Arabidopsis thaliana: one gene and its partner. The protein of the gene in region 1 interacts with the protein of each later gene in a pairwise test. Each region holds a gene or a part of one and is shown on either strand. Other genes may lie near its edges.

The links.
Region 2: the proteins of FHA2 (region 1) and AT3G21810 interact in binary tests that used the Arabidopsis thaliana proteins (3 or more experiments, as listed by UniProt).

The regions. Positions count from the first base shown.
Region 1 is NC_003074.8:2,296,139-2,299,894, reverse strand, and holds FHA2 (SMAD/FHA domain-containing protein), read right to left. Parts: upstream 2,010-3,756; 5' UTR 1,928-2,009; coding exon 1,333-1,927; intron 1,136-1,332; coding exon 978-1,135; intron 698-977; coding exon 488-697; 3' UTR 323-487; downstream 1-322. UniProt on the Arabidopsis thaliana protein: May play a role in the control of plant organ development and specifically in the regulation of stamen development. Does not show transactivation activity in yeast.
Region 2 is NC_003074.8:7,682,538-7,686,293, forward strand, and holds the start of AT3G21810 (Zinc finger C-x8-C-x5-C-x3-H type family protein), read left to right. Parts: upstream 1-1,818; 5' UTR 1,819-2,043; intron 2,044-2,195; 5' UTR 2,196-2,314; coding exon 2,315-2,447; exon of another isoform or gene 2,448-3,575; coding exon of another isoform or gene 3,576-3,636; coding exon 3,637-3,756.

The DNA of each region.
Region 1 (3,756 bases):
CGATTACCGGAAGAAGGGGAAGATCTGGACAAAATCGATGAAACGGAAGCAGTTTTTTTTTTTTATATAGCTTTTTCGATCTCAGAATTTTGCTTTAGTGGCTGCTACAAGATACGAGTATAACCCTAAGTTTGCACATTCCAACCTTTTTATATTGTCTGGATACGTACTTGAGCCACTTTGGATCATTCTCTGTTTCGGCCTTTTCTCTTTTTATGGCCCAAATCCACCGAACATAACGATTTCTGAATTGGCACGAATTTTTTGCCCTTTGATGAAAGAAAAATCTCGATGGGTTTATCAAAAATAAGAATCAAGAAAAAGAAAATCAAAATCTCTCAACTGCAAGGACCAAGAAGTTGGCGTTTTTGGGTGCAGAAAAACGACACAGCGTGTTACTAATCAATGCCAAAATATTTTACATATGAAACAAAGAAAAGAGAGAAAAGCTTCTTAAATCTTAATCCGAGTCACTAAGGTAAAGTTCTCATGAGAGTAGGGTAACGAGGGAAACGAATTCAAGGGTAACTCTTCCCTTTGATCTCGTGTTGATGACGAAATGCTCCGGGTATTTTCTCAGCAGCATCAGCAAACCGTACCATGGTTTACCTTTTGCTTCAGGGATAGCCCAGTCTTCTTGTGATAGGTATCTTCTTACTCGACTGTGATGCCATACGTTTCCATACTCCTTTAATATCTGTCACAGACCAACCACTACCATGCATTAGCCATCATATTGAATCACAAAGAAGTTCATAGTCAGACTACACTAGTCATTCAAAATCTATGGAGTAACTGACATACTTTCTAGACTTAGACACATATAAGTAGCGTAGCGCGTTTCCATTGGAAAACTAATTAAGGACCTAGCTTCACACTAATTATCACCTTGACATTATACAAGTCTTGTTTCAATTGATTACTCGTACTACATTCTGTATTAGAAAAAGGCAAGGAACTTTCTCATAAAAACTAACCACCGAATGAAGTTTTTCCATAGGCATCCACTCTCCCGGACCACACAAATCGGAAAGCACAGTGGCAACAGACGATACAACATCTTTTTCCTCCAGCTGCAAAAATTGTTGATCATCAGCTTCACGATCTACCTTTGATCTTCCCTCTCTCTTCTTCTCTGCACAAATGAAGCAGATACAATGTCGTGGTGTCACTAGCATTCAAATTCAATCCAAGTCTAACAAGGTTCAATCAGCAACCACCACAATCAAAGTCTAAAGAAACAAGCCTGATGTGATCAAGTAAGCATCATAATCTGAAACATATCTAGTTGCACAATGAAAACTCAAACAATCATGAGCAATCTGGTTTTACCTCCGGAAGCATATACTACTTCATGTCCATCTCTCCTTGTTTTCTTTCCACTTCCTCTCATATCGTCCTCCTCATCGTCGTCGTCATCATCATCTTCATCATCGTACTCATACAACTCTCTACTCCTGACGCCCTTCTTACCCGACCCAGAACCTGGACCCGACTGATAATTATGGTATGGAACAACACTTGTTTGCCCAGAGACGTGGTGCCTAGGTCCCAACGGCCCGCCTAAGATGCTCCGAACCGGTAGGAGAAAGTAGAACTCTTTGTCTCCGATCTGCAAAAGGTCTTGTGAATCGAGCTTGACGTTAGGATTCCCAGGGAGATGAAGAACACCTTCAACGAGGCAGCCATTTTTGCCAAGGACCTCGAGAGAGAAGCGTCGTCTAGTGAAGTCATAGAAGATCCGAGCGTGGTTGCGCGAGATGTTCATCCCACCGCCGAGGGATGAGAGATCAACGTCGACGGTGGCTTTCTTAGAATTCCGGCCGAGTATAATGGAGTAAGACTGCATATAGTACTCGAAATCCTCACCTTGAAGCTTCGCAAATCCAACCTCCACATCGCTTCCGCCACCAACAGCCGTAGCCATGCCGTGAAATTCTCCGATTTGATCGAAAGAGGAACCGGGACTTCCAAATTAGGGATTGCAATCGTAATAATTTGTGAATCGAAGCAAGATTTGTTTGGAAACTGGTTTAGCTTATCCAGGACAAAGGCTTATTTTGTGAAATTGACGATTATACCCATGATTTTAAGACCTGAATAAAAACCCTAATGACACAACTATTTAAAACAGCCGAAGAAACATTGAGAATGGCGGCGAGATCTGTGAGCTTAAAGGTTCCATCTCTCCCGCAAATAGTGGAGCATCTTATTGATTGTTTGAATTTTTTGATTTCGTTTGCTTTAGAACATAGGCTTGGTTAGTTTTATGTAACCTTTTGTTTATTTTCGTTGTTGGTTTGATTGAATAAGTTGCCAAATGATGATTGAAAATTTTGCGCAAGGGTTTTGAGTTTCGGATGATTGGAGTTTACTCTGGTCTGAAGGAACCGTGACAAAATTATTTTCTAATAATTCATTCTGATGGCAGCTCAATCATTGTTAGATATATCAAATTTCAATTCGAGTTTTGGGTGCATGGTTTGATTCGGATGGTTAATTGTAGTTTGTTTTGTTAGTAGAAGCTTGGTTTTGGGGCAGCTTAATGAATTTTAGGATTCAAGTTTTCAAATCATTTAGCCTATAATGTTCTGAAATGTGTTGTGTAATGGCTTTGATTTCCTGAGGATCTGACTATAGAATGTTTAAAATCCTGAGGAACGGTGGGAAATCATGTATTTGTGTTTCTTTTTTTTTTTAAGATTCAGGTTCTACAAATTATGCTTAAAGGGCTTTGAGCTCCTGACCGCTTGTATTATGAGATCCAAGAAAATGTGAAAAGTCGTTTTTTTTTCCTTTCCCATTTTGATGGTTTGGGTTGCATTTTACTGTTCTTTTAGTTATCATGACTATGCTAGATTCTGGTCTGGACATAAGTTGCTTAAGATGTGTGGAAATTATGCGTAATGGATTTAGAATTGGCAATTTGTTATTTGAAGGAATTCACTTCTATAGATATCCTTTAATGGCACCCGTTCATGGTCAGCTCCAAATATGCAAGAAATCGGAAAATGCATTAGTGTAGTCCTCTTTTCTGGTATATTGTCAATACTCAAATCTTACATAAACTTTGTTTCAAGGACAATGAAGCATGTGGTCAAGATTTTGAGCCTGCTGGTAGCTGTCTCTGCCTTTTAGTTTGCTCTCTTGCAGGCTGCAATTATGGCTCGTAGCCAAACATAGTTGGTTAGTAATGAGTCTGTTGTGCTCATTTTTGCTTATTGCTATTCTCAGTTAGTCAATATTAATAATGTATATCTTTGCACCAGCTACCTATATACGTTGTAGTGTCCTTTGCTATTAATTGTTGGAATCGGTTTAGTGCAGTTCCCTACCTCTCCTAAAGAAGCAGTTTTTCTGCAGCGGGTACTTTCAGTACTCTTTTCTTTCTTTGTTAACTCGAATTGTTAATTAAGGTTAAATTAAGTTCTTGACTAGTGCTTTTGCTCCTAGCTGTTGTTAATGTTGATTATGTACTAGTTTGTTTTGGTGCTATTGTTATATTGCAGGATATTGCAGATGCAAAAAGACTTCTTAAGCGCTAACGGAATTGATGTTGGATCGGATTTGACACATTATGGTTTACTTCTTTTCAACTCCCTAACCAGTGTAATAGAATACTTGGAGTCTTCGATGGTTCATAGAAAGAGTTCCCATTTTCATTATGTACAGTCGTTTACTATGTTTTTTTGAGAGATGTACATTGAGAAACCGGTGTTTGCAATTGGATTTTGTTTTGGGGTTTTAAACATGATG
Region 2 (3,756 bases), 5.4 Mb from region 1:
CGGATTTCAGTGAGGTTTTTTTAAAATCAATGATCTGAATTGTTACACACACTGAGGCTTTATTAGTTTGATTTGTTTTTGTTTATTGGGGAAATTTGGTTTGCGATGATGATAAAATAGCACGAAGGTGCGTGAAGGGCAGTGGACAAAGCAATGAAAATTTGTTTTGCCGTGAGCTCTCTTTAATAAACGACTTCTCCTTCCACTGAGCATTTTTTAGATCTTCCCTAAATCTTTGTGTTTGTTATTATTGTTGTTAATAATGAATGGCGTCTTTTACCAATTCTGAAGGATTAAATATGGTTCCTTTAGGTATAATGGCATTGACGCAATATTGATTGTGGTATATCCTGATCATTTGGCTTTTTTTTCTATGTTATTTGATCCTGGAAATGCCTCACACATTTGTTCTATCTTCTTTTTCATTATTTACGAATTGGGTTTCCTCTGAATTTACGATGAGGTTTGTTGGTTGAATATAAAGTTGTTGGAGCGAGATGGATTGTTTGGAGTGCAATGATGTTTTCTTTTCTCAGATTTGGTTTTTCTAACTGAAATTGATGATTGTTCTGTTTTATTATTCGATTAAGACCGTCTCCAATATTAATCCCTATTTTTTCGTTGGAGATGCTCTTGCTTCTTCCTGTTTTAGTTGTCAAAAGTCTTATGATTGTTAATCATTTGATTAAAGACATTCGCATACAATTCTGTTATCAATAATGAGAAGGAAAATGTGATGATTTAACATACGGAACAATTATGGTTGCTGTCATTACTTATACGAGTTCGATGTTGAGAATTGTTGGTGGATAATTTGTGTTGCCTTCTTGATTTCCTGCGTTGAAACAAAAAGGTTGCCACATTTTGCTGGATGAAGAATTGTTGGTTCTGTGTGATGTTGTTTATGTGATCTTCAGGTGTGATCTTACATGAGAGACTAAAAAGAGAGCAACGGGTTTGGTTTGAGTTTGTTTAGGTCAAACCATCAGAGAGACATTACGAGATATCGTATCATACCCTTGGGCCAATTCTGCAATATGCGTTGGAGTTTTGTTAATCTTGATCATACCTTTCATATGCCTATTATCGGCTTTATTGACTTAGTTGTATCACTTGGTCCTATACTCCTTGTTCCCTTTCTCTGATAAGTCTATGACTTCGCTGTTATGATCATTGCGTTTGGTTTTTGTCGTCCCTGTTTGTAAATTTGCCAAGATTGAAAATGTAATTTCGAAGAACCAAAATTGTATCACAAGGCAAATATTTTATATACTTCTAACTCTCCCAAAATATCGAGCATTATCTTAATATCTTTACTATGTCAACTTTTGGCAAAACTTTATTAGAAATCTGAAAATAAAACTCACAAGATTAATTATTTTTCAGAAAAGAGAAACTAATATATAGGACTTACCTATATTAATTGTTTAGAGATATTCATACTCCATTTACTTGAACTTTTTTATTAAGTGTTCAGATTATGTTCCATCTCTTGTATTTTATTGCTTTTTTCTCTACACATAAGAACCTTTCAGTTTCCATTTATGAAGATTTATAAAATGGTACAGATACTTTAGTAAAATGTTGTATCATTATATGGAGAGATGTACAAATTTATATAGAGATAATATTCAGTAATTTAATTTAGACAGATCATACAAATGTTAATAACAAAAAAGAAAAAGAAAAAAGACAAAACTGGAATAGAATTAGAGAACTAAATACCTCTAATTAAACCGGATTTGATGGTAGTATACAAAACCAAAATCTTGACATTTTGTTAATCCTTCGAATACATAAGGGCAAAATAGTAAAATACCAGCTCTGTTTTTACTTATTTTCTTTCTTAAAAGAAATATATAAATACGAAGGATCGATCCTTAAATTGTTTCAGCTTTCTTTTTGTTTTCATTTTCCGGTAATATCATTTTCGTCCGACTTGTTTTCTCCTCCTTGCCGTTAAGTTCCATTGAAGAAGAAGAAGAAGAAGGTGTGATTCAACGATAAACCTAGCGAGAAAACGAACCGCATAAAATCGCCATTGTAGGTTTTCGATTTTCTCAGTCTTACATAGCTCGAAATTGATGTATAACTGGTTTTTATTCATGCTCGATTCTAGAGATTTTTAGAAAATCCTATTCCAGTGAGAATCTAGAGATTTCCATTTTGAAGCGTTTCTTCTGTTTCGTATGTAGGAACGAGACGGTGGTGTTAATCTATGGTTATGGAGGTTTGCTTGACTTTTTGAGGTTGGCTTGACTTTTGAAGTTTTGATCTGAAGAAAAGAGGTTTCGTTGTAATTGGTTTATACATCATGTCTGGGTCGAGTATGTATAAGACGAAGCTTTGTATTCTGTTCAATAAGACTGGTGATTGTTCGAGGCCGAATTGTACTTTTGCTCATGGAAATGCTGAGCTTCGTCGTCCTGGCGAATCTTCTTTTACAGGTAATGTTTTCGTTTATGCATTTGAATAGGCTATTTATTCTGGTTTAAGTTTGTTAATGGTGGAAGGATTGATGAATTTATGAGTGCTTCTTTTTATTAGAGTAAAATAGAAAAGTTTTTATTTAATTAAGTCTCTTTTGCTTAGACTTTGCAAGATTTTTATATTATACTTTGATGATTCTGTGAAGTATTTTTCTTCTGAAGTTTTGTGGTTCAATGCATTTGCTTTGTGAGTATTATTCCATATTTTATGAGATTGTGTAAAACGTTTCAGCCTACAGTGTTCTGTTTGATAAACACATGGTAATGGTATCAGTATTATACTTTGCTTTGGATTTGGTTTTCTCCATATCAACTTTTACTGACTAGTTTTGTCCTGCGGAATCATTCTGGAATATGCAGAAAGATAGCTACTCACAGGCTTAGTATTATTTTTTATCCGGGAATGGAATCTACTGGTCTTTCTGGCTGCAATTTATATTGGTTTTCTTATTGGAGTGGAATCTGCTGGGTTTTTTTGTGGTGAAATTTATCTTGGTTTTCTTATTGCTCTTGAAAGCACATTCTTTATGAAGAAAATCTATCATGGGTTTTGCGGGGTACTTATTCTTCGACAACTATGGTTTTCAGACTCCCGAGATTTGGTTGCAAGCAATGCTTGTTATTAGGATTTATCAATGCCTGTTGTTATTACTTCTGGCATTTTCATACTTCCAGTTATGTATGTGGAGCACGTGGTATTTTCTGTGATTATTTATATCTTCAATGGTCTTTCAAGCGGTTTCTTGGATCAAGAAATATGCAGTTTATGGGGGTTTGATTGTCAGTATATCAAATTTGGTGGATTTTGATTGTGTAATTAAATGGAACTTCAAGATTGGTTCTTATTTTCTCTCGTCCAACATAATCTGAAGCCTTCTCAACCTATGATTTATCAATGAGATTCAGTGACTCCACTTATTTAGTACCCAATTGTGGTTTCTTTCCAACTGCTGGTAAGAAGAGGACATTATATTGTGGTCTCTTTGAACTGGGAAGTAATCACCATTACGTTTTTCTTTATGTTACTAGTAGTTTTCTGTGATCTTATCCAAGTGTTGTTGACTGGCATGATTCTGATTGTTTGAAATGGAGTTCACATCTGTAGCACAAGTATGCTTTACTGCAAAGTCTGTTTCGTCTACTGCAGGAAGACGTCACAATATGGATAGTGACTTAAGAGATAGACGTCACAATATGGATAGTGACTTAAGAGATAGACTTGGTAGACAGTTTTCTCCAGAGCGGAGACCTTCCTTAGACAGAAGTG